Regions from separate parts of the Mus musculus genome. Here all the other regions are reported to be linked to region 1. Evidence: microRNA targets listed by miRTarBase, many of them from high-throughput screens and not tested one by one. Region 1 holds a microRNA gene; each other region holds the end of a gene's coding sequence.

Evidence for each region. Region 1 holds the annotated microRNA mmu-miR-5101 (UUUGUUUGUUUUGCUGAUGCAG, at 2,775-2,796, shown strand). A microRNA usually pairs through its seed, bases 2 to 8, with sites in the 3' UTR of a target mRNA and lowers its output. Matches are read on the target gene's strand: a 7mer-m8 pairs with bases 2 to 8, a 7mer-A1 pairs with bases 2 to 7 and ends in A, and an 8mer does both.
Region 2: miRTarBase lists Gtf2h2 as a target of mmu-miR-5101. Seed matches in the 3' UTR shown: 7mer-A1 at 346-352 and 7mer-A1 at 351-357.
Region 3: the mRNA of Nab1 is a reported target of mmu-miR-5101. Seed matches in the 3' UTR shown: 7mer-A1 at 3,526-3,532, 7mer-A1 at 2,962-2,968 and 7mer-A1 at 2,949-2,955.
Region 4: the mRNA of Tspan18 is a reported target of mmu-miR-5101. Seed matches in the 3' UTR shown: 7mer-A1 at 620-626, 8mer at 623-630, 8mer at 627-634, 8mer at 631-638 and 8mer at 1,734-1,741.
Region 5: the mRNA of Slc7a14 is a reported target of mmu-miR-5101. Seed matches in the 3' UTR shown: 7mer-A1 at 557-563, 8mer at 560-567, 8mer at 564-571, 8mer at 568-575 and 7mer-A1 at 3,215-3,221.
Region 6: miRTarBase lists Cramp1l as a target of mmu-miR-5101. Seed matches in the 3' UTR shown: 7mer-A1 at 1,850-1,856, 7mer-A1 at 1,845-1,851 and 7mer-A1 at 1,364-1,370.

Annotation. Positions count from the first base shown.
Region 1 is chr12:75,906,380-75,911,468 of GRCm38, forward strand. Mir5101 (microRNA 5101) reads left to right here and starts at 2,724; the gene lies at 2,724-2,806. It overlaps Syne2 (spectrin repeat containing, nuclear envelope 2), which reads left to right. Exons shown (of 116, transcript NM_001005510.2): 14 at 332-494; 15 at 2,489-2,567; 16 at 2,797-2,984; 17 at 4,637-4,801.
Region 2 is chr13:100,464,126-100,469,214 of GRCm38, reverse strand. It overlaps Gtf2h2 (general transcription factor II H, polypeptide 2), which reads left to right. Exons shown (of 16, transcript NM_022011.4): 16 at 189-638. The coding sequence ends at 308. Among named protein-coding and RNA genes, the nearest start is that of Naip1, 14 kb to the right of the region's middle.
Region 3 is chr1:52,454,913-52,460,001 of GRCm38, forward strand. Nab1 (Ngfi-A binding protein 1) reads right to left here. Exons shown (of 8, transcript NM_008667.3): 8 at 937-4,394. The coding sequence ends at 4,306. Among named protein-coding and RNA genes, the nearest start is that of Gm23460, 13 kb to the left of the region's middle.
Region 4 is chr2:93,199,777-93,204,865 of GRCm38, reverse strand. Tspan18 (tetraspanin 18) reads left to right here. Exons shown (of 10, transcript NM_183180.2): 10 at 444-3,106. The coding sequence ends at 491. It overlaps Trp53i11 (transformation related protein 53 inducible protein 11), which reads right to left. Exons shown (of 8, transcript NM_001025246.2): 8 at 3,109-5,080. The coding sequence ends at 4,947. Among named protein-coding and RNA genes, the nearest start is that of Trp53i11, 15 kb to the right of the region's middle.
Region 5 is chr3:31,204,335-31,209,423 of GRCm38, reverse strand. It overlaps Slc7a14 (solute carrier family 7 (cationic amino acid transporter, y+ system), member 14), which reads left to right. Exons shown (of 8, transcript NM_172861.3): 8 at 26-5,089. The coding sequence ends at 348. Among named protein-coding and RNA genes, the nearest start is that of Gm33834, 26 kb to the left of the region's middle.
Region 6 is chr17:24,960,370-24,965,369 of GRCm38, forward strand. Cramp1l (cramped chromatin regulator homolog 1) reads right to left here. Exons shown (of 21, transcript NM_020608.3): 21 at 857-4,577. The coding sequence ends at 4,413. It overlaps Jpt2 (Jupiter microtubule associated homolog 2), which reads right to left and starts at 254. Exons shown (of 5, transcript NM_198937.2): 1 at 199-254. The coding sequence starts at 242.

The DNA.
Region 1 (5,089 bases):
TGTTCTTAACAGGATTTCTCAATAAGAGAATAATTTCTTCAGAAAATGTTCTGTTACATTTTTACCTTAGAAATGTTGCTTTATATCTTGCCAGAGCATTTGTTTCACATGACTTTAAAAGGAGAAGAGAGGATGGAAGGACACAGACACAGACACACAAAGACACACACACACACACACACACACACACACACAGCACAGGGCTGGGGACACTCTTGAAGATACATTTGAGTTTCATGTGTTTGAATAGAAAAATTAAATCACAGGATTTCTTTAAATGCCAAACAGATTTCTGACACTTGGTCAATTCTAAAACCTGTTTGTTTTCCAGAATCAACAACGTTTTGGGTAAAAACTTCATCCCACTCCTGGAGTTTCATGACTCTAAGTGCTCAGTTCTGGCTTTGCTTGATGAAGCGAAGGCCAAGTTGGATGTCTGGAACGGCACTTATGAGAGCAAGGAGTCTGTGGAAGTCCTGCTGGAAGACTGGCATGTGAGCGGCTGCGGGCTGGGCGTCTGCTTCCCTCTCCTGCTGTCTGGATTAGCTCAGGGATTCTCCCTTTCTGGGCTTGGGTGTTTGTTGGTAGGCCTCGTTAGCTTCAGTTTCCCTGGAGAAAACCATCAGTGGTGGTCAAATAGCTGCTAGAGAACGAGTAAGAAGATGAGGATTGCCTTGGTCAAGATGGAGTTAGGATGGTTAGGGCCATAAAGAAGGCTCCGTTGTGGTCTTTTCCCATTACAAAGTTTTGCTTACTTTTGTTCTTTTTTTCAATTTATGCTTCCATTCAACGGTTCTCTTTTCTTTGAAAACTTTGGTCTTAGCCCCTCAAGTTTTTTTTCTTTTCTTTTTTTATTATTATAATATCTAAGTATACCCTAGCTGTCTTCAGATGCACCAGAAGAGCGCATCAGATCTCATTACGGATGGTTGTGAGCCATGTGGTTGCTGAGATTTGAACTCAGGACCTTCAGAAGAGCAGTCAGTGCTCTTACCCACTGAGCCATCTCTCCAGCCCCCGCCCCTCAAGTTTTATTTTGAAATTTAAAAAAATATAGTTTCAGTTACTTTGGTGCTTGCCACGGATGCGTGTGGAGGTCAGAGGACATCCTGTGGGAGTCAATTCTTCCCTTCTGTCACGTGGGTCCCAGGGACCGAATGCAGTCCTCCAGGCTTGGTGGCAAGTGCCTTATGCACTGTGGTGCCTTCTTGGCTGCCCTTCACCCAAGTTTGAGTAGGAAATGGCTTAAATGCTTCAAAGAAAAACCCGTCACAAAAACCAAAAGCATAGGCGTGTCCTTACAAGCATAGGTGTGTCCATGCAGAAATTCAGATGGAAACCCCATGGGGCGCCTTCTTTATGGGAAGGGAGGGTGGGGAGACTTGAAAAACTCAAAATTATAAGTTTCAAGGAAATGGAAGAGGATGATGAAGACATACATATCTGTTTATAATTGATCATTTAAATATTATGCTCTTCCAAATTGGAGGCATCATTCTAAACTGGGCTAGGTTTTATTTATATATAAAACATGGAGAACAGTACTACATATAACTTTTTGTCTTCTCTGAAGTTTTGTTTTGTTTTTTTTTTCTGGGCTTTTGTTTGTTCATTTGTACTTTGAGATAGGGTCATATGTAATGAGGTTGGTCTTGAACTCCCGATTCTCCTGTAAGTGTTAGATTACAGGAGTGTGCCATCATGCCCAGCTTTGGATTTACATTTCACTGGTTCAGTAATCATAGTAGTTAGCTAGCACAAAATAAGAATATAATCAGTGGTTCTTAACGTTCCTAATGGTGTAACACTTTAATACAGTTCCTTACGTTTGGTGACCCCCAATCATAAAACTATTTGTTGCTACTTCATAACTGTTATTTTGCTACTGTTATGAATTGTAATGTAAATATCTGTTCTCTGATGGTCTTATGCAACCCACAGGTTGAGAACCGCTAATATAATAAACAGGCGGTTTAGAGTCGGCTCTGAGTTAGCCCCAGGATTTTCCACAGCTGAATTAGTTAATGATAGTTTCACAGCCTTCTTTGTGCAGGTGGGGATAGCTTCTGAAAAAGTAACCTAATGTAGCTAATGAAGACTTACTAATTAGTGTGAATAAGGCCTGGGAAGCCTAAGCTATTGACACAGTTACACAATGTTACTAAGACGGACGAGCTGGAAGGCTTGGATCTGCTATGACTGATAAACTTGCTTTTTCCCATCAGCTGGACGCAGTGTAAAGTCACATGGCTATGTTAAGGTGAATCTGCTGTGATAGCCCTGTGTCATTGTGCTCTTGCATCTCCTAAGTCCTAGCCACCCTTCCTGAACCATTCCTTCCATTTCTGCTGCTGCAGTGTGGTGGTATTGAATACTCAAACATTGCTGGCAACCTTGCCCTTTACTGACATCACATACTGACATCTGGATTTCTTGGCACATTTTCAAAAGTAAAATCTGTCAACATTTTTTTGCCTCTCCTTCACAGAAATTTACTGGAGAAAAAAAGTTCCTAATTCAACTTGATGCTTCTTTTCAAAAATGTGAAGAAATGTATAAGAACTCGGGTAAAGTATCCTAGTTGCTTTTTAATGGGTCAGCTATCATTTCAAGATGAGTATTGTTTTACTTTGATGGTTTGGACATTAACTGTTTTCATCCCTGCTTTCCTTTCTTTTGCTTTTAATATTGTTAGGCAACATGCTTGTTGGTTAATGCAAATAATTTTCTTAGTATCAGTTACAAACAAAAACCGTTTTGTAAGACTTGTTGTTTTTGTTTGTTTTGCTGATGCAGCCAGAGAATGTGAGAGTATTAGAGAGGAGTATATGATGCTGGAAAAGAATGTTCACTCGTGCAGACAATACATCCATAACACGAAGGCCACACTGCAAAGAGCACTGATGTCTTGGGCAACTTTCGAGGAAGATCTCGCCCTACTAAAGGCTTCTTTTGACTTGACAAAGAAGGAACAAATTAAAGAGGTATTTGAAGTCAATGGTTCTATCCCAGTTTTACATTTTATTTTTGGAGACTGACTACATACATACACCATTCAAGTTAGGGATTAAAGGCATGCATTACCATGTCCAGCTAGAATGAACTTTTCTATTTCTTTTTGTTTGGAAGCCCATTTTGAGTCCAAAAGTTGAGTGTCAACAAAGGAGTAAACATATCTTCTAGAAAATTCTTCAAGAATTTGGGAAGAACTTAGTTTTTTCCTAATGTAATTGTCAGAGAGTATTTCCTTTGAATTGTACACACACACACACACACACACACACACACACGTTTACATAATAATACAGCTTTTTTTTTTTTTTGGATCACTCTATCAAGAACCTGGAGACAGGTTCTTGGCTATATGATCTAGGCTGGCTTCAGAGTCAAGACTCTCCTGTTTTCATGGGACTTCCTTTCTGATAGGATTACAGGCATGTCCTACCATGCCTACCTAAATCACTGTTTTTAAGAATTACAATTTTCCATTTAGTTAAAACCTTTTTCCCCTACATCTTTTCTGAATTTCCCTCCTACAGAGGGTCCCAGATTCATTTGATCAATAGAGGCTAATACCACCTTCATGATGGTTTTCCTTAGTCTCTAGGCCAAGAATTATTTAACACGTCCCAATTTAAGTCATCTAGTTTCTAGTTCCACAACTTAGTAGCAGCATGGGTTCTAGGAGATAAATGCTGCTGAGACCACGCCAGAGTTAAAAAGCTCTAACAAGATCTCTGGCATCATGGCAGAGGTTCGGGATTGTATGTTCAAGATGGCATTTTCTGAGTTATGTATATTTTAATATCAGATGTGTGGAAGGAATGTCAGTGCAACTATTATTTTTGTATGCCAGCTAGGAAATAGCATGTGTTTCTGTCACTCGCTTTTGTAGTTGAAAGTGGACCAAGACAGCCTTTCACTCTGAATGGAGCAGAATTACTTTGTGGACAGTAGGCTCTTGGTATGGAAGAAATGCAGGGAGTATAGGAGTGCACAGAGAGCACCTTAGACTTAGAAAGTTCCCTCGTCTCCCTGTCACCTGGGTTGGTCCTATAAGCTCATACCATTGGTTTTCAATAGTTCTTCTGTCTTTCAGGGTCTGATATTAAAATGTACATAAACCTGGGGAAAGTTGCCGTCTTGAATGTGACTCTGCTGAGATACTCTGGGCTTCCAGAGATCTTAAAAGAGACTTTGAATTTTACAGGAGACTTGGTAGCATCTATCACATAGACACTGTGCCAGTATTACATATTTGCCCTAGATGACTTAGGAAATTCTTGGCCTTGATATTAAATATCAAGTATCAAGGCAATATTGCCTCTATTGAAACCATTACCAGAGTGGTATGGCCTCTATTAATCAGATGAATCTAAGAACCTTTGTTAGTTTATCAGATACTTAGAAAAGTTGACCAGGCATTTCTGAAGAGTCCTGGGCCAGGAGGACAGTGTCGAGCACCTGCTAGGCAGCAACCCCAGAAAACAAGCTGGGAGGTCCTCTAAGAGGGAAGTCAGTTTCTCTTCAAAGGCCTTCACACTCAGTCTCGCTGAGAATAAGCCTTAGCAGAGCCTCTGGATAATAGCAATACAATTCTCACATCAAACATTTCTGGTGCTTATCTGTGACATAGGTTCCCGTTGAGACCCTCTTGCAGTGGAACACAAAACACACATCTTTGAATGAGGTGGGGAGTTTCCTGATTGGAGTCAGCAGTAGAGAAGTTGCCGCATCTATTTCTAAAGAACTGAGAAGGCTCAATAAAAGATGGAGAAAGTTCATCACCAAAACTCCACTTGTAAGTTCTTGTTTCTGGCAACAGCTTTCTGGGGATATAATATTTGGTCATGCAAGTAAGTGTGTGTGTGTGTGTGTCCTCATCTGCTGTCCACACTATTTTTGAGACAAGGTCCCTCACTGAACCCGGAGCACCTCAGTTGGGTAGACCAGCTGGCCAGCAAGCCCAGTGATCATGTCTGTCACTCCTCAGCCCCAGGATTACAAATGTGCACCACTCTCCCTGACTTTTATATGGATGCTGGGGATCTGAGCTCACGCTTGCCTGGCTGTCAGTTTTAGAACATTA
Region 2 (5,089 bases), not on the chromosome of region 1:
GGGAAAAAATGTGTGAGGTTTGAGGAAATTGTGTTAGATTTAACACATTGGGATTAATAAGGTGTGTAGGAGGGTAGGGAAACATTGAAGAATATAGGGAGCAAGGCAACTGAATTGTCTTTTGGCTATGCAGTTCTTAACTTTTGGAAACTAATTTTGTTTATCTGCCTTTCTCCTTTCCATTGCAGGTCTATGTTTGCACAGTGTGCCAAAATGTTTTTTGTGTGGACTGTGATGTCTTTGTTCATGACTCTCTCCATTGTTGTCCTGGCTGTATTCATAAGATCCCAACTCCTTCAGGTATTTAATACCAATATGAAGAACACACACATCGAGTGGGTTTAAAAACAAAACAAAAGTTGTAACTGTAAATAAAATGATTCTTTGAATAAAGTGATTCTCTAATTAAAACATGAAAGCACTTTGAAAGAAGATCTGATTTAAGAAACTTTTAACTATGAAAATAGAGTATTTTTATTTGGATTCTATCACCAATATGCATTAAAATTTAATTAACTTTGTTTTCTGTTATTTTGAGCCATTTTTATTCTAACTCATTAGTGTGTGTGTGTATACACACACACACACACACACATATATAGATATTACTTGTAATGATTAAATTGATGTCATAATCTCAGTTTTTTTTCATTTTAGATTTTTATTTACATGCATGTGTGAGTGTCTACATGAGTTTGTTTACCCTAAGTATAGCTACCCACAGGGGTCAAGAGAGGGCATCAGATTTCCTGGAAGTGGAATTAAAAGGCAGTTGTAAACTGCCAGTATGGGTGCTGGGAACTGAACCCAGGACCTATGCAAGAGCAGCAAATACTCTTAATCACTGAGCCATTTGTCCAGCTCCAAAATATGCTTTTTTTTTTTTTTTAAAAACTGAAAACTGTATTCTATCATACAAAAAACAAGACTTTATTTTGGGAAATCAATTTCTAATTACAGCAAGTTTTACTTTCAGAAATAAATCCACAGAACAGCACATTCTAGTCCACCCTTACATTACCTGGTATGTTGAACAAGGGATATTCTGTTCTCTGTAGGAGTTCCTCCTTTACACTGTCAGGTACCAGGGCTCTGCCTTTTGGAGTGATTTCAGCTACCAAGTCATCCACAGGACCGTGTTCCAGGCCTTTTCCTTTAATTACCTCTGTATAGTGCACCTTCATCTCATCCTTCCAGCCACACTCAAGTAATTTAGATTTCTATTAACTTTTGGTTAGTCAGTGCTTTCACCTGCACATCTTTGTTCATTTTGCTAACTGACATCATCCCAAAAAATGCTCTTTAAAAAAACAAACAAACATGCATTCACACGAAAGAATACAACACACACACACACACACACACACACACACACACACACACACGGAGTTAAGTGACCAGAGCCCAGTCTACTGGATGTTTTTCTTAGGATTCACATACACTGAGTCTAGACTCAGTGGTTCTTTTTTTAAATTGCTTTTAAATTAAAAACAATTTTTTTTATTATAAAAGAGCATTGCAAATAAATACCCCCTCTAAAAACAAAACAAAACAAAACAGACCCAAAGACTGTACAAGTCAGTGAACTTCTTTACAATTTGAATAGCTAGTTGGAACAGAAGCTATAGAGCCTCACACTGGATTTATATTTAACTCTTGAAATCATTTTTATGCACATATCCACTACTCAAACTTAAAAAAAAAAATCCCTGTCAGTTGGAACTAGAGACAGTTAGCTTTCAATTCATTTCCTACTTGCAGTCCTTCCGCATCCTCTAAGACTTAGGCTTTCTTCTTTCCTGTATGTTGTACTGCCTCCACTTATACATTTGTTTATACACATATATTATTGACTGTATTCTGCATATGAAGAGCATGCACCTTTTTCTGCGGTCATGTGGCCTCACTTAATATTATACATTCTGGATTGATCTATTTTTCTGCAAATGTTGCAATCACTTTGCTTTTGCTTTTTTTTTTTTTTTTTTTTTTTTTTTTTTTGGCTGTTTGTGTTGGGGTAGTAGGGGTGGCGGGTTTGCTGTCCTGGAATTCACATAGACTAAGCTGGCCTTGAACTTAGAGATCTGCCTGCTTCTGCCTCCTGAGTGCTAGGGTTAAATTGTGCACCATCATTGCCTGGCGTAATCATATTTTCATTTAGAGCTGAATAGTAGTCCATTTTTATTTGTGTATCACATTGTCATTATCCATTCATATGTTGATGGGCAGGAAAGTTGATTCTAATTCTTTGCTCTAGCGAATAAAGCAATAGTAAACGTGGGAAATGTCTCTCTGGTAAGGTCCAGAGTTCTCTGGCTATAGTGAGGAGTAAAATAATGGAATCATACAGTAGGCCTATTTTTATTTTTTTTAAGACAGGGTCTCTCTGGCTCTTTTGGAACCTGTTCAGCTTTATAGACCAGGCTGGCCTTCAACTCAGAGAGATCTACCTACTGAGTGCTCAGATTAAAGGCGTGTACCACCACGTCAGGCTTCTTTTTGTAACTTTTTGAGGACTATCCAAACTCAATCCCACAGTGTCTGTATTAGTTTGCACCATTACCAACAGTGAGTATGGGTTTCTTTCTGTCTATATCATTTTCAGCATTTGTTAGATTTACTGATGGTAGCCCTCCTGGGGTTAGATGGTATCTCAGCATTTGCCTGATGGCTAGGGATATTGAACACTTTTTAATAAAAAATATTTATGGCTCTGTGGGATATTCACCAGAGGAGACTGCTCAGACGTGGGTTTAAGTTTTTATTACCCGGCTGGGTACACAAATGGGTGCTCAGGATCCCAGTGTAGCACTGAGCCTTTTTCAGGATGATCTTTTAAGCACAAAAACCATGTTGTGGATTGACATACTTCAGTTAACGAGACCCAGAAGCAGAACTGGAGAAACGAAATAGTGTATTTTGAGACTTTCCCAGGACTAAATGGAGTTTGATGGATGAGGCCTTTGTTTCAGTTTTGGCAGATGGTGCTGTCTTAAGTGCTGAGGGTATGACCCGAATGGCACTTCTATCATGGAGTCAGTTGTGCTGAGGTCTCAGGGCCTACTAAGGTCTGAGCCCTTGTTTCAATGGCCACTTTTTTTGTTTTTGTTTTTATATTTCAGACTGTCCTTTCTGTTTATTTGCCAGTTTGTTGACTGGCAGTTTTTATTCCCTTAGTATTTTCTGCAATTCTTTGTAAATTCCAGAAATTTGCCCCTTGTATGAAGTGTAGCTGGTAAAAGTTTCTCCTGTTACAGGTAACTGCTGTCTTTTTTCCTTGTAAGATATGTTTCTAGCACAGTCAGAATAGTCTTTATCTCCTACTCCTACCATGCTTAGAAGAAAGACTTTGAATGTCTCCTCTTGAAAAGTTACCAGAGCCAGTCTGCGATGACACACACCTTTAATCCTAACACTTGGGAGGCAGAGGCAAGTGGATCTCTGTGAGTTCAAGGACAGCCTGGTCTACAGAGTATAAGTTCCAGGACAGCCAGGCCTATACAGAGAAATGTCTCAAAAAAGTAAAACCAAACAAACAAACAAAAAAAGGAAGAAGAAATAAAAGTCACCAGGATGTATTAGAGACTGTGGTAGCTAGTTTTTAAAATTTTTTCTTATTCTCTTTTATATCTCTGACCCAAGTTTTTCCTCCCTTCTCTCCTCCCAGCCCCACCCCCGAATTCTCTCCTCGAGTCCCCCCCCACCCACCCCCAATTCACATCTACTCCATTTATATTCAGAAAGGGCAGGACTCCTATGTATATCAACTAAACTTAGCATTTCAAGACTAGGCACCCCCAATTGTCACCTTGTTGAAATACAGAATCACCTCAGGAGAGAGCCTCATTTGGGGAGTTATCTAGATCAGCTTGCCCTGTAGTCATGTATAGATGTAGAATTATCTTGCTAATTGATGCAGGAAGACCCATTCTCTGGCATGGAGTTCTGAATTAGCTTGATGAGCAAGCTAGCAGGAGCATGGGTGCATTTATTTCTGTCTGATTTTGACCATGGGTATGGTGTGACTGGCTGGCTCAAGCTTCCCAACTGGTGACCTCCTTGCTGTTAAGGACTGGAATTTTAGCCAAACCCTTCCCCCCTTTGTTTTGCTTTCTGTTGGAACATCTTATCACCTCAACAGAAGTGAAATCAGAACAAAGACCTAAACTCATTGTCAGAGGGGATAGTCCCAGTTTTAGATTTCATTTCCATGCTTGATAAGGTTACGATGAATATTGTCGCAATGCTTCAAAGGGAATTTACTTTTTCATAATCATTGAGAGAAGTCTTGTTTAAAGATTACAGAAGTAGAAGCTGGGTGTGTTTCTCAGCATAAGAGCACATGTTTAGTGTGTGTAAGGGCCTAGTGTCCATCCCTAGCACAGAGAGAGACAGAGACAGAGAGAGACAGAGACAGATAGAGACATAGACAGAGACACACACAAAGAGAGACACAGAGAGAGAGAGAATGGTAATCAAACTTGGGTCTTTAATTTCCTATTTCCTTCTTGTAACTTCATAATATATTATTTTGGTGTTCTTTCACTAAGTGTGTACTTTCTTGGGGAAGGGGTCATGTATTAGGGACTCATGTCAAATGTGCACATTTTCCTTTCTTTTCCTTGAGTGCTGTAGTTTAAACAGTCTCCTGTATGCTAGATAAGCATTCTATCCTGAATTAGTCCTAAACCCTTCATATTCTTGTCATTTAGTCTGACAATTTTTATCTTTTAATTAAAGCACTTAGTCCATTTACACTTAGTATATAAATTAAATTAATATGTAGTACATATTAATATTAAATATACTTAGTACCCTTATATTCAAGTGTACATGTAACCACTGATTCTTTGGGGAGTCAAACTATACATTGTGGTATTGGTTTAAACCATTGCATCTTCTGAATTGTATTTTTAAACGTTCTAAATTTTTCCTAATTAGTTAGAAACTTGTATGTTGTTTTTATTCTTTAGTGGAATTTCTAAACTTGAGTTCCCTAGAAAATAACATAAGGCAAAGATAAAGTATTGTTACTTCATTTGAGAGGTGCCACCTGGGGATTGGTGTTGAGGAAGAACAGGGAAAATGC
Region 3 (5,089 bases), not on the chromosome of region 1:
AGCAGTTAGAAGAGAAGGGCATTCCTTGCTTGGATTATGTGTGGGTGCTAAATACGGCACTTGAAACCTACATCTATGAGGTGTAAATTTTTAATACAAAGATGACTCACAAGGTTTCACAATGTGTAAATATGAAGTACAGTCTAATTTATAATGTCATGGGTTCTTACCACAGCAACGCTGCTTATGGGGTTGATTAGCAAATTGTTTGGACTACCAGGAAACTTGGAATTTGACACTCCTTGGTTAACAGAGGAGACTCATGGGACTTTTTTTTTTTTTTTTAGCTTTTGTTGCTGCATTTCTATCTTGTACCAATGTTACCTGTATAACCTACATTTTGAAGCATCAGATTTTGATGGCAGCATCCAACATGACATTTCTTTGGAGTTGTAAAAAATCAAGTTGATACTTTGGAGAAGGCACAATGAAAAACTTAAATAGAGAGCAATTATAAAGATTTAAAAAAAATAGGGGCTGAGAACATAGCTTGGTGGCAGTGTTGATCTTGAATGCATGAGGTGCTGGGTTCAACTGTAGAATCATAAAAAGTGGATTAAAATTCTGGAACATAAAGTAGAATTTATGTTTTTCCCAGTTTCTAACAGTGCACATCTTTGTCTTGTGATGCTGTGTAGAATTTAAAACACTCTACTGAGAGTTTAGCAAAGGTAAGCAAACTGAAGAATGGTAAGTGGCAGTCAAGCACAGCCAGAATCCACTTTCCCACTGAGGTGTCTTAATTTGCCTGTGGCAATCAGGATGCACGGTGTACAGAAATTAAATAATCAGTGCTCACAAACCTAGTATCTTGTTTCAATTCTGAGCCAGCTCCACCAAGCTACCCTCTGCCCCACATGTATGCCACAGCATGTGTTAAACATGTCATGCACACACAATGAACACATTTTCAAAACAGGTAGATAACCCATGTTATACACTTGAATATGTACCATTTTTATTTACCAATTAATGTCTTTTCCTTTTGCAACTGAGTCTTCCTGTGTAGGCCAAACTCAAACTACAGTTGCCCCACCTCAACCTTCAAGGACTAATTAAAAGTGGGCATCATCACACTGGCCCAATTAACTACTTTAAAAATAGAAAATCAATGAAATATTTTAAAAATAAAAAGAGAAAGCTAATGGTAAGTAGCATGTCATGTGAATGCTAAAAAATCGAGTTTAGTGCTTGGTGAGTTATTTTTAAATGCTTCTGTTCTAGACATCATATTAAATCACTACAACAATATTAAACTTTTCCTTTGGTTGAGGGTGAACTGGCAGAAATGAGCCCTTTTATGTCTTACAAGTGAGATCTGGACATAAATGGAGCAGTCAAAAGAACAGTCTTAGAAATTATGACCAAAGAATCAGGCACTGCCAAGAGACCAGAATTCAAAAGAATACTGTAGTGCTCAAGAATCGTGTGGCCTAGCAGCTATGAAAATATGAAAGAAGGAAGGAGTTCTAATGAATTTATAACAAAACCAGCTATTATTTATCATTCTTTCTAAAGCTATGGTAAAAAAAATAGACAGAAAAATATGTGTAAGTAGAACATAAGACTAATTTAAAAGAATTATGAACTTAAATTATGATTTCATATTTTCTGCACAAGAACAAGTGATTGTTTTCTTCATTTCCGTAAGTCAGCCAAAGCAGAATCCAGGGGTGACCTGGACGATTTAGCCACCACACATTCAGAATTGAAAGCATTATCACAGTGTCGGCTTCTGATCTCTTAGGTGTCGGGAATGTTTGTCTTGCACGGTTGCTATGGAAACAGTTGTCATCAATGTGTGTTTTCAATAACAGTGGACACTGAGTCATCCTTTGTTAACTTGAAGGCCACTGGAGAATGTCATTCATGAGAACGCCCAGAGATAACAGCAAATACACGTTCTTGGATCCCCAGAACCAACCCTTGCACAGCGCTGGGTCAGAAGAGGGCTTTCATCAAATATTTGCTGTTGTAATCTCTTGAATCTACCAGGGCTCCTGCTCTCATTGGGTTGACAACCTGGTTGGTTTTCTTTTGAAGATTCAGAGCAGCATCAATGTCACAAACAACATGGTGCTGAGTCAGAAGTACTCTGCCCTTTCAAAAGTGAAATGTATGAAGCCCAGGCTAGGAAAGGTCTCCCCAGGTGACCACCACCTGTGTGGTCTACAGAGTGAGTTCAAGGCCAGCTGCGGCAAGTTAGGAAGCCTGTCTCAGAATAAAAAAGTAACATGAGTGCTGGGCCTATCAGTGGTAGAGCCTCTGGGTTCAACTCTCAGTGTCACAGGAAAAAAGAGAAGCGCATCCTGTCCCGACATGCGGTAAGGGAGGCAGTATAGACGAACATCATGTGCTATGCAAAGCACTCTAAGCAAGGATTTGTGAGGCAGAGAAATCCTTTATTGCCACGGGAAGCAAGTTCACTCATCTCTTCAACAGTTTTAGGAATCACAAAAATGCAGAATTCACACAATAAAGAATAACACAGACTTAGGGAGAAATGGTCCCTTGGGTTATATTGGCTGTAATACTGAGGTAACCAATTGACCTTGTTCAGTGGAAGTATCTTAAATGAAATGAAGAACACCCCACTAGTTATAACATCTAATTTATATATACCATTCAAATAAAAATATATATTATTTGCTTTAATGTATAGCAAGTTTAATACATTAGTGTTCACAAGATAAAAATTGTATTCTACTGAAAATTTGTGTGTGTGTGTGTGTGTGTGTGTGTGTGTGTGTGTGTGTGTGTGTGTGCTTCTTCTCTATCTCTAAGCTTGGAAGTCAGAAAAGTATGCTACTTAAGGAGACTTTCTTCTGGATTTAAAAATGCAGGTTCTAGGTCCAGGAGAGACAGATATATATCAGCTGGAAGACTACTGCATCTTTTATAACTTGCAATGTTAAAATCTACGAACTTGAACTGTAAGACATAGTTTTTTTGTTTTTCGTTTTTGTTTTTTTTTTTTTTTAAAAGAAAAAGGACCACAAAATTTCTCAAAATAGATTAAGGAACACAGGAAACGGTTCATGAAAGTATAGGGATAATATCCAGTGCTGTGGCTAATATTAAAAACTGAACATTCTATTTAAATGGTATCACACTAGCTCTACACACAGTGGACAGTGAGACCACAATAATCAACCTCACGGTAGAAACAGAGGCACATGGTCCCTAAGATAGTTTTTAGTGGGCAAGGTGCTATGGTCCAATAGAATCATCTAGGAAGGGAAAAGCCTTGTAGTTGTAGTAAAGCTGTTTACTGGTGTTTCTACTGTAGAACTCTTCTACAGATCAAATTGAAAAGTGACTATCTATGTGACTGCTTAGAGCCTGTGGTGGTGCACACATCTCACCTAACATCTGGCCAACAGATTTCAGTATAACAGATTAGGAACTCATATCTATAACAGCATGATCTAAAGCAGAACTGAAAACAAGACACACATTCCATGTCCATTCACCCACATCATCCATCATCTTTATCACATTTAGGGCTATCTTACTATGCCTTAATTTGTTTAACATATTCTGAAATATCAATGTTTTTAAGTCAAGGCTTTTACACAATAACCCATTTATTTCATGTCCTCTGTCCAACCTTTGTTACATCTTAAGCAGCTGCCATAAATATAGCCTACCTCATTTTGGGAATGTTACTCCAATTTTTAATTTGTGCATTGATTAAACCAATGAAGGTGACATTATTTAGCGACAGCTACATATTTCCTATTAATCAAAATCAATGTTATCAAGTATTAAACACACAGTCTTCTCCTTGGTGTAAATTGTGTATTTATCTTCCATCTTTCTCCAGTCACCTTGCCAATAACTACATTGCCCAGACTTTCTTTCTATGATTGCAAAAGTTCTAATTGCTGACGAGTAACATTTATGGCAAATACACTTAAAGTAGACAACAAAATTTCAAGTAAAATGAATGGTATCCACATCTATTAGACCACAAGGTATCAACACCTAGACTTGTTTCTATAAATTACAAAGACATGTTGTACATTCTTAAATAGTGAATGCCTACAATATTGAGCCTTTCCACACAAGCAGCTTACACAGGAAGGTAAGTGGTCAGTGTCTGTTACATTGCAATGCTCTCTTGATTCCCTCTTCTGTGGTTGTTGTTTTGTCCTGATGTCCACAGACTACTGTGTGGGTTCTTATGCTTTGGCTATGGTCTGTGAGCTGAATGAGGCAACACTGGTTATTAAGGCTTAATCTATGATGGAGCATTATCCTTGAATCTGGTGCCATTTCCAGAGAACAGTAGGAGCATCTCAGCTATCTTGAGTCTTCAGGCTCTGTTTTAATAACTTTCTTTTCCAAGGTGAATGCAGAGTGAGGATAGTCTTTTAGAATCCCAAGGCTCTCTACATAAAACAAAACCAGAAAGAGTTTGGAATTTGAAATCAGTGGACTACAACATCAAGTTATTAAACCCCAAACTTCCTAGCAAACATTAACTATTCATAATTATGAAATTCCAGATGGAATTTTATTTAGTTGTTAAAAGCATGGGTTATCGCAACATGGTAGTGATGTATTTCCAGGACTCAGGGACGTTGAGGCAGGAGGTCTACTTCAAGTTCCAGGTCAACTTGGGCTATGGGCAGAGTACCCAGCCAGCCAGGGTCACACAGCAAGAACCCATTTCATGAAAAACAAACAAAAATAAAGACAGACAGACAAACAAAAACAAAAACAAACTCACAGTTTTATTTAGACCCCCAACTGCACCAACTGCTAGGTATAAACTAATTGGGGTAAGTTACATAGCTGAGCTTTGTGTCTTACCTATAAAATGAGGAGAGTATAGACATAGAATATAGTGAGTGGCAAGGGCAAGACATACATGAACCCATAGACCTTTCTAAATTTATTTTATTTTATGTGTACTGGAGTTTTGCCTGCATGAAAGTATTGGAACCCTGGAGGTAGAATAGCAGACAGTGGTGAGCTGCCATGTGGATCCTGGGAATTGAACCCAGGTACTCAGGAAGAGGAGTCAGCGCTCTTAATTACTGAGTCATCTCTCCAGTCTCCAGTCTCCAGAGAGACCTTTCCA
Region 4 (5,089 bases), not on the chromosome of region 1:
CGCAGGGGCTTAGAAGCAAGGGCTGGGTGGGGGGAGGGAGGGGGGAAGTGTGTCTCTGCTCAAGCTAGGTTACCCCCACTGAAGCTGTGTGACCTAAATCAGGTTGTAAGACATCTCCGACATCTCCATGCCTCACTTCCTGCTGGTTAGAAAGGCTGCTGCTAACAGCATTGGAAACCTACTTTACATGGTAAGCTCTCGGTACACACTCAGGTGCCCAAGAAGGGTTGTGCTTTGCTTAAAGTCTCTGCCAACCCAAAAAAGACAGATTTGAGCTGTTTAAACAGATGACTTGCTTTCCAACGCCTGTTTTTTACCCAAGTGGCGAGCAGATGCTTGCCCCGGGTAGTGTCACAATCACGATTCCCCTCAGGAGGTGTGCTGGGCAGCCCCTCGACGTGCACCCAGTCTGACTCCAGATCATCTTCTCCCTTTCTCTGCAGCTCTTCCTCATGGTCTTTGCCATGTGCCTCTTCCGGGGCATCCAGTAGGCCTTGGCCTGAAGACACTCAGCCCACCACTGCCCAGAAGCCAGCCCCTTCTCTTCCCTGTCCTCTGGCCCCAGGGGCGGAAGCAAGGCCAGCCCAAACGGCCAGAAGCATAGAGCTAATTTTTAAATAAACAAACAAACAAACAAAAAAGACAGACATGAAGGGGCCTCACCTAGGCTCTAAAGCAAGGGGCATGGGCTCTACAAGGACCTAGGGCTGGCCTGGGACCAGCTGTTCCTGAGACCAAAGGTTCATCAGCCTCAGAGCCCCTTGGCCCTGTCAGACTGGAGTGTCCCTTGGCCCGGATCACCTCTCTTAGCATTTCCAGGATCAGAGCAACCAGGAGGTAGAAACACATCCTGGAGGAGGAGCCCGGTCCTCAGGCCCCAAGGAGCCGGCTTTTCACAACACAAGGACAGACTCTGCAGCACCATCTGCTGGAGAGCGAAGCGGTCCCTGCTCCCGCTGGCTGAGGGTGGCTGTGTGTGGACACTGGATCAGAAGGTGGCCCTTTCATTTCCGTCCAGTCACACAGCATGTGCATGACAAGGTCATCTCCAGGCTGCTGTCGCTCCAGCCAGGACTCCACCCCGATGTAAACTGGCCAGGAACTGCCTGCATCCAGCTCTACAGTCCGTACTGTGTCCACTCTGCCCTGCTTGTACCTCTGTCAGAGATCCAACTGTGATACATCACCTGTCCCCGTGGGCCATGCCCCACCCCTGTTCTCCCAGGTGGAAGACACCCCAGTATTGTTCATTTCTCTCTTTCTACCCAGAGCTGAGGCTTGAATGTGTTCTTCAAGGTCCCTGCCAAGAATTCACCCCTGCATCCCTCCACATACGGATGGATCTCACTACCTCCCAACTCAGCCTCCTGCCTTCAGATGCTCTGATGTCACCATCACCTCCGCAGACAGAAGGGGTTTCCATTTTTCCGTCTGTGTACCCCTTCACTCTCTCTCCTTTCTAGAGGTTAAGGTCATGCCTCTTGTCTGCAGACTTAACCCCACAGCATCTCCTACCGTGACACCTTCTGACCTTTTGCTGAACATTTATTTTGTTAGTCTCTCTAGGCTCAGATTACCCAGACTAATAGGTTCACAACCAACCAACCAACCAACAGACACACACACACACACACACACACACACACACACACACACAAACACCCCAGACTAATAGGTTCACAACCAACCAACCAACCAACAGACACACACACACACACACACACACACACACACAAACAAACACCCCAGACTAATAGGTTCACAACCAACCAACCAACCAACACCCCCCCACACACACACACACACACACACAAACTTGAACTGCAGGCTAGGTTAGCAACTAGTTGCAAGATGCCTGACCCTGCCAGGACCGTGTTGAATCCATTAGTGTTGTCTGTCAGGATCTCAAATTTGATTAATTATGTCTGCCAAGGGCACAAAAGGGGAACAGTGGTGGAAGGAACAGCTAGGTGTCTGCTCTCCTCTCTCAGATGGAAGAGCCTGACCTGAACTCCAGCCTTCCTTTGCCCTTCTGCCACCTGGGAGTCATAGCCATAGCCTGTTCTATTCTGCTGTCTGGGTGCAAGGGGGGCTACTTCTCCCATTTTCTCTCCTCTTTATGTGGTCCTCACCCAGCCTGGCCTTCCGGGGAGTGGGTGTCTCTGAATGCTATACGGAAGTTGTCTTTATGACAGCTTAATTGGCATCCCCATAGTAAGCTCCCTAGAGGCTGAGTCACCAGATCAGGGGGCCCCTCTGCTGGCTTGCACCCCCAGACTAAGAGGACCCAGGCTGACTCAGAACCCAGCACGTACTGGACTCCAACTGTCTAGGAAGGCAAATGGCTTGGCTATTGATTGGAAGTTCATGGCTAGGTTGAGGACTTAGCCCAACCACAGCGGCTGCCACCCAGAACTAGCCCAGGCTTCCAGAGATGGGCAGGGCTGGGACAGGGAGGGACTGAGAAGCCAGATATGGAGCCTAGGCAATTCCAGGGCAGATCAGAGTCCCTCACCAGAACTTTCCACACTTACGCTGAAGCGCTCCCAAGTAGCCCTGATTCAACCCAGCTTCTCAGCATCCTCATGGGGCCAGACAGACACAGTCTTCACCCTCTGAGCTTGCTGGTAGCCATTGCAAGGCTGTCTGAGGTCATCCTGGTGGGGCTTGGTGAGCTGCTCTGTGTACTCCCAGAGGAATGGAGGGGAGCTCTTCCTTCACCCCAAGATGCCTCAGCCAGTAGTGAGCAGAACAGCCACTTCCTGTCCCAGAGCAGTGGCCTAAGGGACAGCTGTATCTGACAGGCGAGGAGCTAAGACTGGACCTGTGGCTCATGCTCCCCATTATCCTGTCCCAAGCCCCTGGCCTACCTGGGTTCTGAACCCAGCACCTTCATCCCCAGGAACTCTGATACACACACACACACACACACACACACACACACACACACACACACACACACGTCATATGCTAAAGTCTATTTTGGAATTTGTAAATGTCCCTTGCAGTAGGAAACAGAGCTAATTTATCATTGTATCTCCCAAGTCTCCCCTTTTTATATTCTATATTAAGAGAAATTTTGTAATATAAAACAGGACACCACGCAGATTGTTTCTCATTGGTTGTTTTTTGTTGTTGTTGTTGTTTTCTTGTGACTGTTTCTTACAAAAAGAAAAAGGGACCAAGAATAAATAGTGACCATGACAGAGGCAGTCTTGGGGGCCAGGCAGAAGCATGACAAGAGGAGCTGGGGATGGGGTGGGGGAGAGCAGTCAGGGCACTCTGAGCCCAGACTCAGAGTGGGGCTCTATCTCCATCACTGCCTCCTTCCAAGCAGGTGTCTCCCGGAGGCCACATATGCCTTGACCCCACCCACCTAAATGTATCACTGCAGTTTAACCAGGGTGACCTGGGCTCCTGCTGCTGAGGGGAAGCCTGGCGGATGTCCCTGCAGGCTGCGCAGGGCTGGCGTCTTCCATTTCTACGACTACCTCCCTTGGGACTGTATCTGTATTTGTGGAGGATTCAAGATGATAAATCTTCAACACCTCTGAGAATGGTGTCAACAAATGTCACCTGGTCTACGGTAGTTGGGACTGTACTAAGAGCTGGCAGTGGCAGGGTCCATGGTCCGAGTAAAGAGGTGGGACTGAGGGACTGGCACCAAGCCAGTGACAAGAGGCAGGTATACACAATGGGCCCTTCCTGAACACGCAGGGAATCGCTACTCTGCCAGACCTTGGTTACAGAAGCAGCCCCGGCCACTGCTGGGCACATCCTCCACTGAGTTCCCTCCACTAGGCAAAGGCCATGGTCACAGAGCACTTGGCAGCAGGAACAACCGAGCCCAGGGAGGCTGTGAGCCCAGGTGCCCTAGAGAAAGATTCCTCGGGTATAGGGGACCACCCCCTTGCAGAAGGGAGAAGCCTCGGGCCAAATCTCTTAGTGTGCTTGCTGCTGAAGGGTAGGGAGGTGCTGGGAGCTAGGGCCAAGGGGAGGGGCCACACAGGCTGGTGGCACCAGGGGTGTGTCTTCAGCTCTAGAGGCCCACTTAGGGGCTGCTAAGGGATGGCAGACTCTTGAATCTCCTTCCGTTGTTGCATGTGAGCAGCTATTGGCTTTAACCCGTAGGCCTTGGGGCAGCCTCAGGAGGGGATCTGGAGGAGGCACTGAGCCAGGTGTGTAGCCATGCAGGCCTTGGAGGCCATGCCGAGGAAATGTCCCCACTTGTCCTCTCCTCAGAATTCCTCATGCACTAGGAGCCTATGGGCAGCTAGGAGCCAGGGACTATCAGGCCTGTGGTACATTGCCTAACCCTAGCCTGTCGGGAAGGGACTCTGGTGCTCTGGGACGCAGGCGGCCAGCCAGAGAATCAGAGTACCCTCCAGCAGGCCAAAGAGAGAGATGTGCAGGCTGAGGCTGGGGAACTTGGCCCAAGGGAGGCAGTCACTCCCCTTGCTAGATGTCCTCAACTGGATCTCTAGAAACACCGTGTGTGTGTGTGTGTGTGTGTGTGTGTGTGTGTGTGTGTGTGTGTGTGTGCGTGTGTGATGAGGGACTCACACATCGGGTTTCTGGATGGGGAGAAGCTGAGAGCCCCTGCTGGGGCCGACACAACCTCCTAGAAAGGGCTTCCTGGCAGAGGAACTCACCTTGACTCAGCCCAGACCCTAAAACTTACTCTAGACTCTGCCTGTTAGAGTCTAGAGGCCAAGAAACACAGGGCAAGGAGTTGTCCCTGCACAAGGGTGAGGGGTGGGGTGCAGAGGCCACAGCCTGGTCTGTCACTCCTAGAATCCCAGGAGACCCAAGATGACTCCGTGGAGTGCCTGGGAGGGAAGGAAGGCGTGTGCACCCTGCCTGCCTGCAGGCCTGTCTAGGACCCATGGACAGTGAAGTCCCCAGCTGCTCGGGCCCAGGTCCAGGCCCAGGCAGGTCCCAGCCTGCTACACTTTTTTGGGTTTCCGGCCGACTTGGTAATAGTAGTAGATGCTGACAATAACAAAGAGGAGGCGGCTGGCCAGGAGCAGCACGGTCCCCAGGGACATGAGGCCCGTCTCAGCAAGCGTGGCAGTGACCACTGTGAAGG
Region 5 (5,089 bases), not on the chromosome of region 1:
CATTGTGCTTTCCCCCTCCCAACAGGTATGCTCATTTATTTTGGGTATGGCATCTGGAACAGCACCTTGGAAATCAGCGCCCGAGAGCAAGCCCTGCATCAGAGCACGTACCAGCGCTACGATGTGGATGATCCCTTTTCTGTGGAGGAGGGGTTCTCCTACGCCACCGAGGGCGAGAGCCAGGAGGACTGGGGTGGGCCCGCCGAGGACAAAGGCTTCTATTACCAACAGATGTCAGATGCGAAGGCAAACAGCCGGACGAGTAGCAAAGCGAAAAGCAAAAGCAAACACAAACAGAACTCGGAGGCCCTGATTGCAAATGACGAGTTAGATTGCTCTCCGGAGTAAGACTAACCGCGCAGGAGCCTAGAGAGGGTGGTTTCTTAGTACATCAGCCTATGTGCTAGAAGGTGGAAACTTCTTCCAACTCTCATTTCACAAACCCAGCCTTTCCCCAAGGTCCATCCCCAGGCATAACCTGTCATTTGCTACTTTTGCTCTTCAGGGGAATTCTGTTGAAGGGTTTTACCCAGGGCCCTTAACTAGCCCTCTTGTTAAACAAACAAACAAACAAAAATCAAACTCAAAAGACTACATGAAATTCTGTTAGTGAGATGCCCAGCCGATGGCAGCAAATGTTTGCTTTGCAGGATGGATCTTTGTGCTTCTTACAGAGATGGAGGAAGCTTCCTCCATCCCACCTGAGAACACAGCCCCGGGGGAAGGAGCCACAAAGGTGGCGGCAGTGCAGTGTGAGGCAGCTGTCAGCCCATCCAGAGCAGCGCTGTGAGCTCCTCCCCCAGGTCAGTAGGTCAGGCTGTTTCAGGACTTTCTCTGTCAGCAACACTGTGTCCTTACATCTCACCTCACCTTCTCACTAAACTTCCCACTAACCGTGGAGCAGACCCACGGTTCCTCACTCACCAAAGTTCTTACAGTTTCCAGACTATAATTTTAGGATCCAGAAAGGACTCGGAGAACGCATCCCCCACAAAGCACCCATGCAGACACAGTAGTATAGTTAGACCCACCATCAGAGCTTGAGGAAAAAAAAAAAGGTAAAAGCTTAGATAGCAATCTCTTACAGAGGTCAGAAAAGCATTGGCAGACATGAACTGTCTGTCATGCATTCCCTTATACCAGACCTTGAGCTCCTGCCACGATGGTGAAAGGGCAGAGGTGGGCTGTGACGCCATGCCTCTGATATGCCTGGAATAAGTAGGCTATTTGTTTTACAATCTGATAAAAAGTCTTTTCGAGGAGAAGTAACTCTGCCACTGAGATCACATTACAAATCTTACTTCATATTTCTAAAATTATAAACTCTGCAGAGGGTTTTTTTTTTTTTAATTTTTCAAGCTAGGCAACCACTTGGCTGGCTGCTGCTGTTGAAAACGGTGGTGCAGAAGGCCAGGGACTTAGGTCAATGAGCTCAGAGAGATCACACTCCCACACGGACCTCATGCTTCGGAAGAGCTCGCTTTTAGAGTATTTTTTCCTGTTCCTTCCCAAAGTACTTTCACAGAGCCCCAGAGAAATGCTACCTGGTGACATTTAAGTGTAGGCCACCGGAGGAATGCTTAAAAGAATTTTCCCAAAACAGGACAGATGAATCTGTGACAGGAAAAGCCTGTGAGTTATATCCCCCCAGCAGCCATGGATCCCATGGCTTCAACAGCGGGTGTACTTGTGTATGAAGACAATTTTCCTCACACTAAGATTTTTGTGAGAATTTTCTGGAAGTAGGGCAAAGACCAAACCCCCTCTTTATCATCTGCCAAAAATTCTCCTGAGAATCAACAAACATTCTCCTTTCTTAAAGTCTGAAGCTGATGTCTTCTTGGCATGCACTAGAGTTACAGAGAAAAGGTGCGCTTCCTGTTGCGCTAACTCGCTGAAATACACCAGTGGCTAAGTGGCAGGCATGAGGAGACCTGTAACTTCCTCCCTTGGAGCTTACAGTACAGGGAGGTGCAGTTTTGGAGCCCCATGACCAATGCAAGAGGCATACCAGAAAAATATCAGTTGAAATTATTTTTTAAGACAATGCATAATAAATTGCATACCATGCCCCTAGCTAGTCTATGCCATTGCAATCAAATAATTACAGTTTTTAGATCACTTCATATTAATTACATAGAACCCAGTATATTCATGGTATCATTTTTATGTAAAGTCTGACAAAACTGTGTATCCTCTTTCTTAAACTTAACCACCATGATCCAGTGTCTGGCCTGCGACAAATCACCCTGGAAAATTCACTGTCAAATTGATCTCATGATGTTAAAACCTAAGTTTTAAACTGGTTTAGGAGCAAGAAATCTGCCTGGTTAAATTGCATCTATTAAGCTGAAGTCGTGGGTAACCTTCTCTCCCTTAGGTGTGTTTAGAAGAAATATGGATACAAAGTGACAGATTTTCATGTGAGTAGAAAGTTTCCTTTTACTGCTGGTGTTTAGGTATAAAAGTAGCAATGGTCTGGTGGCAGCTGTGTGCATCTTCTGTAGCCTAAGAGAGTGAGCATGGGTTATATTAGTTAATGCTATTGGTGTTGATTCTGTGCAGAGCCAAGGAATTGATCTCATTTCATAAGCCATTTGTCTCCGTTGGTAGCTTTGGATGTCTTTGCTCTCTTTATTTTTCTAACATTGTTGGGGTCATCTTCTTAGCTATCTTGGTTTTTTAAACATTGTTTGGAAAGTTTTCTCAGGTACATAGCAAGGTTCATTGTGTTTCTCAGCTCTTATGGAAGAGTCCCAGGTTTCACAAGGCAACTTTCAAATACCATCAACCACAGAAATGACAATATCAGCTAACATATCTGAATACTGTATTTGTGAGGTTTCATTAAAAGAAGGGTCCCTTTATAAATATTTATCTTAGGAAATCTCTTCTGGTGGGTTTCAGTGTGTGTGAAGCCGATAATTTAATATCTTTGAATTCTATTTATTTATCAATACTCTGCATCATTTCAGAAAGATTGGAGGCAGCTATTAAAATGCATGTGCTCGGGCTGGTGAGATGGCTCAGTGGGTAAGAGCACCCGACTGCTCTTCCGAAGGTCTGGAGTTCAAATCCCAGCAACCACATGGTGGCTCACAACCACCCATAATGAGATCTGATGCCCTCTTCTGGTGTGTCTGAAGACAGCTACAGTGTACTTACGTATAATAAATAAGTAAATAAATCTTAAAAAAAAAATGCATGTGCTCCAAAACAAAAGGGGTGAGCACAACTGAAACAGAAGAGAGGGTAACACTAAGCCAGAAGTGTGTATAGTGCACAGGTGCAGAACTTTCAAGGGCTTGGCTACATTTTCCGATGAAGGGTGTCTTAGTCAGGGTTTCTATTCCTGCACAAACATCATGACCAAGAAGCAAGTTGGGGAGGAAAGGGTTTATTCAGCTTACACTTCCACATTGCTGTTCATCACCAAGGAAGTCAGGACTGGAACTCAAGCAGGTCAGGAAGCAGGAGCTGATGCAGAGGCCATGGAGGGATGTGCCTTACTGGCATCTTGGAAAATAATAGACTTGTCAGTAATGACAACCAGTACTGCTACATGATTAAAATAAGCCCTTCCCCCATAAGGGCACAGACCTCTAAAGTCCACAGAGAAGCGTCAAGCCTAAGTTGCACAGCCACATGCGCCTGCTGGGTAGTGGCTATCAAGAAATAACAGCGAGGTGGTGGTGGCACACACCTTTAACCCCAGCACTCAAAGGCAGAGGCAGGCAGATCTCTGAGTTTGAGGCTAGCCTGATCCACAGAGGGAGTTCCGAGACAGACAGGGATACACAGAGAAATTCTGTCTTGGAAGAAAAAAAGAAATAATCTTGTGATAGGTTGCATGGGAAAACTGAGTGAATGAATGAAATAGAGAGGAATCAGCTATTCAGCAGTTATTCATACTGCACCCACTGTGTGCTCTAGTGTATTGTGATGCCATAATATGTGAAAGGCTTCACTCCTAAGAATGAGATCTGTGGCTGGCCAGACAGACATGGGGTCAAAGGCGTGCCTCACCTAGCTTCACTTTGACCCTTGGACCCTGCATGGATATGAAAGGAGAGCACTGACTCCACCTCATTATTCTCTGATGTGAGTGCTCTGGAACACATGCACACATGCTCACCTCTGGGCTTGTCATTGCTAAAATTCAGTCCGTTTTGGAAAATAAGACCAAGAGAAGTGTCTACACTGCTGAAAGGGCTTCAGACACTGAACACCCTTTAAATCACTCGTATTAGAAAGCACATTACCAGAGACTCCCTCTTCTAAATATACAGAATCATAAAGAGAATTTCCATCTGTCCGAGTATCCACCCGAGAGAGACTAGGGAAAATCACTGTCTCATCTGCCACTGGGTTTTCCCCAGGGGCTGAGGGAATTCCTGAGATCCAGACAGAGGCTTCCTACCTTCTGTCTAATGCTCTGTGATATAAGGTCAAAAGACAGGATAAGGTGAAGCCAGAACGGGATCCGCTCAGGAAGTCCTGGGGGCACTGGTCCATCCTTAGACTCTAGTCTCCACATAGGGAGTGGGCCAGAGCTGGCTTCTATTTCCTATGGAGAGGTAGGGAAGAGAGCTAAGAAAAGGTGCCAGGGCAGGGTGGTGGGGTTTCTCTGCACTCTTGTGCCTGGTTCAAAGAGACTTGTTAAGGCAGGGGTTTCCAACACATCTTTAGGAAGTCTCCCTCTGTCAGCCCTGCTCCCCGGTTTTAATGCTGATCATTCGTTTATCCACAGAGAGGCCCTTTGGAGACCCTAAGGCCAGCTGTGAATCAGCAGTGGCCTGACCTTGTAAAAGTTCCCAGTTTCAGTTAACATTATTTCAGGCTAGAAACAGCACCCCAACCCACAGTCCCCACACCAGCAGGACCAGAGGCTGTCTCCTCCCAGAACTGTCTCGGAGTGTATGTTTGACTGCTGACAGACAGACAGTAAAACACCTCTGCCAGCCTTATGTCCTGCTTTACTTTCTCTAATACGTTAGAACAGGGACCGTCTCATTTGCCTTTTTTTTTTAAATCCTTAAAAGCAACTTCCTTTCTGGACCGCTTTCCTCGTGGCTGCCCCGCTCTCTTC
Region 6 (5,000 bases), not on the chromosome of region 1:
GAGAGCCACGTGTCTTAATCCCGCCGCCCGGTCTCCACTCCGCTCTAACCCCACAGCCTTCCTGCAAGGCCCTGCGGGAGAGCGCGCACAGTATCCTCAGGGGAGCCCCGCGCCACACCCACCGCACTTGTAGGGTCTCCCGCCCGCCACGTGGCTGCGGCTATGCGCCCACCCGGGCCCCAGCACCGGTCCGCGCACCTGGAACCCGACTTGCCAGCTTGGCTGTCCGCGCCCTGGAACATGTCGGCCGCCGCCCCGCGCTTTCACAGCCGCCGCGCGGCGGTTCCCGCTTGGTCCCGCGCAGGTACCCTGACCCGCCCAAGCCAGTTGGACGCCTCTCGCGCCAATCATGTCTCTGCAGCCTATCGTAGAGTCGTGCCCCACTCCTCCCTCCCGCCCCCAAGGAGAGGGAGGCTTGGAGGCCCGCATCGCGCTTACAGCCGATTGGCTGCAGGGGGCGCCTCTCATGGCCTCAGGCGTGGGCATTGGTTCACAGCTCGCCCCACCCCCAGCCAACACGCCTCCGCATGCGAATCCGCATTTTCTGGCCGACCTATCCCGGGCTGGATGGCACTAGGAAGTTTCTGGCCGGTGGTAGCGGAAGGCTTCTTTGGGGTTACAGCACCTTCGGGAGGAAAGGTTCATGGAAGCGCACAACATACCCATAACAGAAGCAGCGAATTCTGTAATGAATTCCGCATTCAGCGGTCACTCAATCGCTGAATCTCTGATGCCTACCTGTTTGCTCACCCTCACCTCCAGGGCACCTCCAGGCCTTAGAGCTCATCTCATTACACTGTGCCTGTTGGAATACCCTAAGCATACTGGCTTTGAAAGCAGGCACAAAAGACAGACATTAGATGAAGTATTAGTATGTATTTATGCACAATAAAAACATTTACAAGCCGAACTGGAAATTTTAGCCGAAGTTTTAACAGTTCTTGTTTATTAAATAACCAAAACACCTTTTATTCCCAAAAAATTGGTAAAGAATAAATAATGTAATTTACAATATGGTACAAAAAATAATCAGAAGGACAGGCATTCTGCTTTATACATACACTGTATATTTATAGTCTATAAAACAAATTCACATCTCAAGCCGGAAACCTCAGATGATATGGCTTAACGATTATCAAAGCAAACAGCACTGAGCTCTGCCTGCTGGGGGCACCCCTCCAGCCAGTGATCTTACGAAAGAATAAGGGTCTGGCTGGGGCAGTGCTTCCAAAACTGGACTGACCACACCAGGCTAGCCTCTGGGAAAGGTATACTGTGGGTTTCTTTCCTTTTTTAAAGTGTTTTTTTTTTTTTTTTAAATTAAGACAAAGTACGGTATTTCCTCATGAATGCATCTGGGAGATTTGTTTTTAAAGTACATAAAACAATTTCCTTCTAAACTTATTTTGACCATTTCTAATAATATGGTTTGGTTAAAAATGCTATTGAACTGAATGACACCTCCCCTAGCAGAGGCTATCACAAGGAATGAAAAAGAAGAGGAGGGTAGGAAAAAAGGTTGACCAACAGATGAAATGTCCCAAAGTCCCACTCCCTGAGCAAGTACTATGCCCGACAGGATCTATGGACTTCAGCTCGCCTGAGCATCTTCTCTAGGACACAATCCATGCCAAGCACCAAAGATACAGGTTCCCCATCTTTTAAAAAGATGAATCAACATGTCTAAGAAACATTAATATTAACAAAAGATTTTCTCAAAGAATGACCGCATGTAAGTCACACTAAGTTCCAATGAGGAGAGGAAGCCCGAGTGAACGCCAACCATCCAAACTGATGGAAGGAAGAGAAGGAAGATGTAGAACCCAGGAGCCTGCCTTGCTGTTTTTGTTTTGTTTTTTAAAAAACTCTAACCTTTAGCAGTTTTCAGGTTTTATGCATGGATATTTGCTTACGCTGGGAGACGTTGTATCCACTGATTCTCTGCTACAAATGCCACCATTTGTCCTTTAATGTGGCGATGATGAGCAAACCAGTATGGCTGGTGAAGAACCTTCTGGAATCTTGTCAGCTTCCTTACAGTAACGCACCAGTCCATCTGATGCCGCTTGCTACTGGGAGACAAGGGCTGTAGTCTCTGCTCCTCAAGACGTCTCAACTCCTTTTAGCCGGCACAGACTAACATGTGCCTACAGCATTCACTGCCTCATGGAAACCAGCTTAAGAGCCCAACTACCTAGTTCTACATGCGCAGTTACCAGGATTCTACAAGCACCCATGCTTATTAATGTTGTGGGAGAGTCTACCTGAAACACAGGAAGAGCAGCTAGCAGTGGCCTGAGCCTAGCCTGGTACAGGCTACAGTCCCAAGATCTAAATGCCTTCAGCTAAGTAAGGCATTGCTGAAAGCACACAACTGGGTAGAGACACATTGGCTACCTTACCACAGTCTCTTGACGGCACCATATGCTTGCGCTTCTCATCTAACAGTCTGACTCTTACCAGATGTGGGGTCTGCATGTCAGCATCTGGGACAGATCCTTCACCAGTACCAGAGCCCTATACGGTCTTTGGAGCAGAGCCTGCACTCTAGGGTTTGTAGTAGCCAGAGAGGCAACTGGATCAAGTGTCCCAAAAGGACATTCCCATCCCTTTCTTCATTGCAGACAGAGAGACGTAAGGGCCTAGGATGATCTTAAGTACTACTGTGCAAGGAAGGAGGCTAGAACAGCTGGAAAACAGAGGTGGCAGCTTTAGGAGTTACAAGGACCTGCCAAGCTTGGTGTGGTAGCACATTACTTTCAGCCCAGCACTCAGGAGGTAGAGGCAGGTAGATCTCCAGCCAACTCAGTCTATAAATCAAGTTATAGGATAGCAGGGTTATACAGAGAAACCCTGTCTCAGAAGAAAAAGGAAAGGGGGTGGAGTGGGGTGGGGTGGGGTGGGAGGGGTGTCAGCCCTGGCTAGCATGTGGAGAGTGAGCAGTGACGTGGCTAGCACAGGGGTCACCTGTTCAACAAGAAATAGCCATGGCTACCTGATATGCTAGGTCCAGCAAGAGTGACCATGTTACAAGAATCTACTAAAGGGCAAAGAAGGGGAATGGAAGTATTTTTGGCACCACTCTGAGTCCGATGGCCTGAGCATGACAACTGACTGACCACCTCTGGGCTCCTGAAGAGGGCTGCTAAAACATCATCAAGCTGTGAGCTCTTCCTACACCCTGACATCTAAACCTGGCTTGGGTCCCAGAATAGGAAGAGAGATAGCCTGGGGCAAAGACACCCCTCAGATACCAGCAATAACACATGAAATTTTAAGTGTGGATAAAATCTGTAGACATTGCAGTGCATTTGGGGGTTGGGGTAGGGTCAGGCCATTAGAGAGAAATGGTATCTCAGATCACTTAGAAGGAACTAGGCTGGGCAGTGGTGGCGCACAACATTAATCCCAGCACTTGGGAGGCACAGGCAGGCGGGTTTCTGAGTTCAAGGCCAGCCTGGTCTACAAAGTGAGTTCCAGGACAGCCAGGACTACACAGAGAAACCCTGCCTCAAAAAACCAAAAAAAAAAAAGAAAGAAAGAAAGAAAGAGAGAGAGAGAGAGAGAGAGAGAGAGAAGGAACTAGGCATTAAGCATAGGTAGAAAGCAGAGCCACCTAAATAAAGGACTCTTACTATTCCTTGTCCATATCTCTCAATTCTTAAACCGCAAGAAAGCCATTCCCAACCAGCTTTGAAAGACCATACAAAACATCCATACAAGCTCCAAGAAACAAAATTTCTTCCCCCTTCCTCATGCCAGGCAGAACCACACCTCTGGATGGTTTGGGTAGGAAGCACTAGTTGAGGGCTAAGTAGTCTTGGGAAGATACCATTATCTACATGGCTCTGGGACCCTTCTCTGCTTCATGGTCAAGGCAACCAGGAAGTATCTTAGGTTGAAGATACCACCAGGCAATAGACTGGACTATACTCACAGTCCCTTGCAACATCACTGCAGACAGAACAGCCAAGTGGAAAAAAGATATCAGAAAGAAAGCAGCAGTGGCTATGGCCTCCCTTCGCATGGATAACAGCTCCAAAGACAAAATGAACACCAGGCAAATGAACTCCTCTTGCAAGGAGGAGACCCCCTGGAAGGCTCAACACACAGACAGACATACAGTCAGGACGCCACACAGGCTACAGGACTTCAAGGGCTCTGATACCAAAAGGATTTCTGAGGTCTACCCTTCTCGGGTCAGCTGTCCTGGCTTCTGTGGATGGTACAACCCCTACTTGTTGCACAGGCTGTCCTTTGCATGTGGATATTGTTATGCTGTTAGAGGTGCTCCTGTTCACTGTCTTCTCAGGATTCTGGGCTTGACTTTCTCTACTGTGCAGACAGATTCATGGGACCAGCTCCGTAGACCTCCTTTGTGGATTCCACGATGCCCGTGTCACAAAGCATAGTCACTGAGAGAGGTCACCAACAGGATTACCACCTCCTCCACCATCAAAAAGAACCTCCCGGCGGCCAGGCTCAGTGATGGACAATTCTTGGGCCAGGTCATTAAACCGAGATATGTAGTCAATGCTGTTCTCGTTCATCATGCACACCAACTGGGAATCCACCACCTGTAGGACAGAAGGGACAAGGAGACATTAGTCTGAGGACGGCTTACCATCCAGAGAGAGGCTCTTGACCCCCAGAGCAGAATGTCAGTGGAAGGAGCCAACTGCTCTATGAGGAATTTTGGAATCCTTTGTGGTCTAACCACATGAACTTTTTTGTAAGAACATACTCTGCACAAGCCCCTGGGAAAGCCTCTGAGAACATGAAACACCTCGATACTGAGAATATAGTAGCAGCAACTCCATCTGATACTCATGAGGAAGAGAGTCACAGAAGGGCCAACAGTGACAAGAGAAGGCAGAGATCAAAGCAAACAACAGTTAATGAGGGTCCCTAAAGCATCAGGGCCTCACACGTGTGGTACAAGGTCCATGAACATACTAGGAGAGAACATCCCACCAAACGAGAAGGCAGAGCCAGTTACC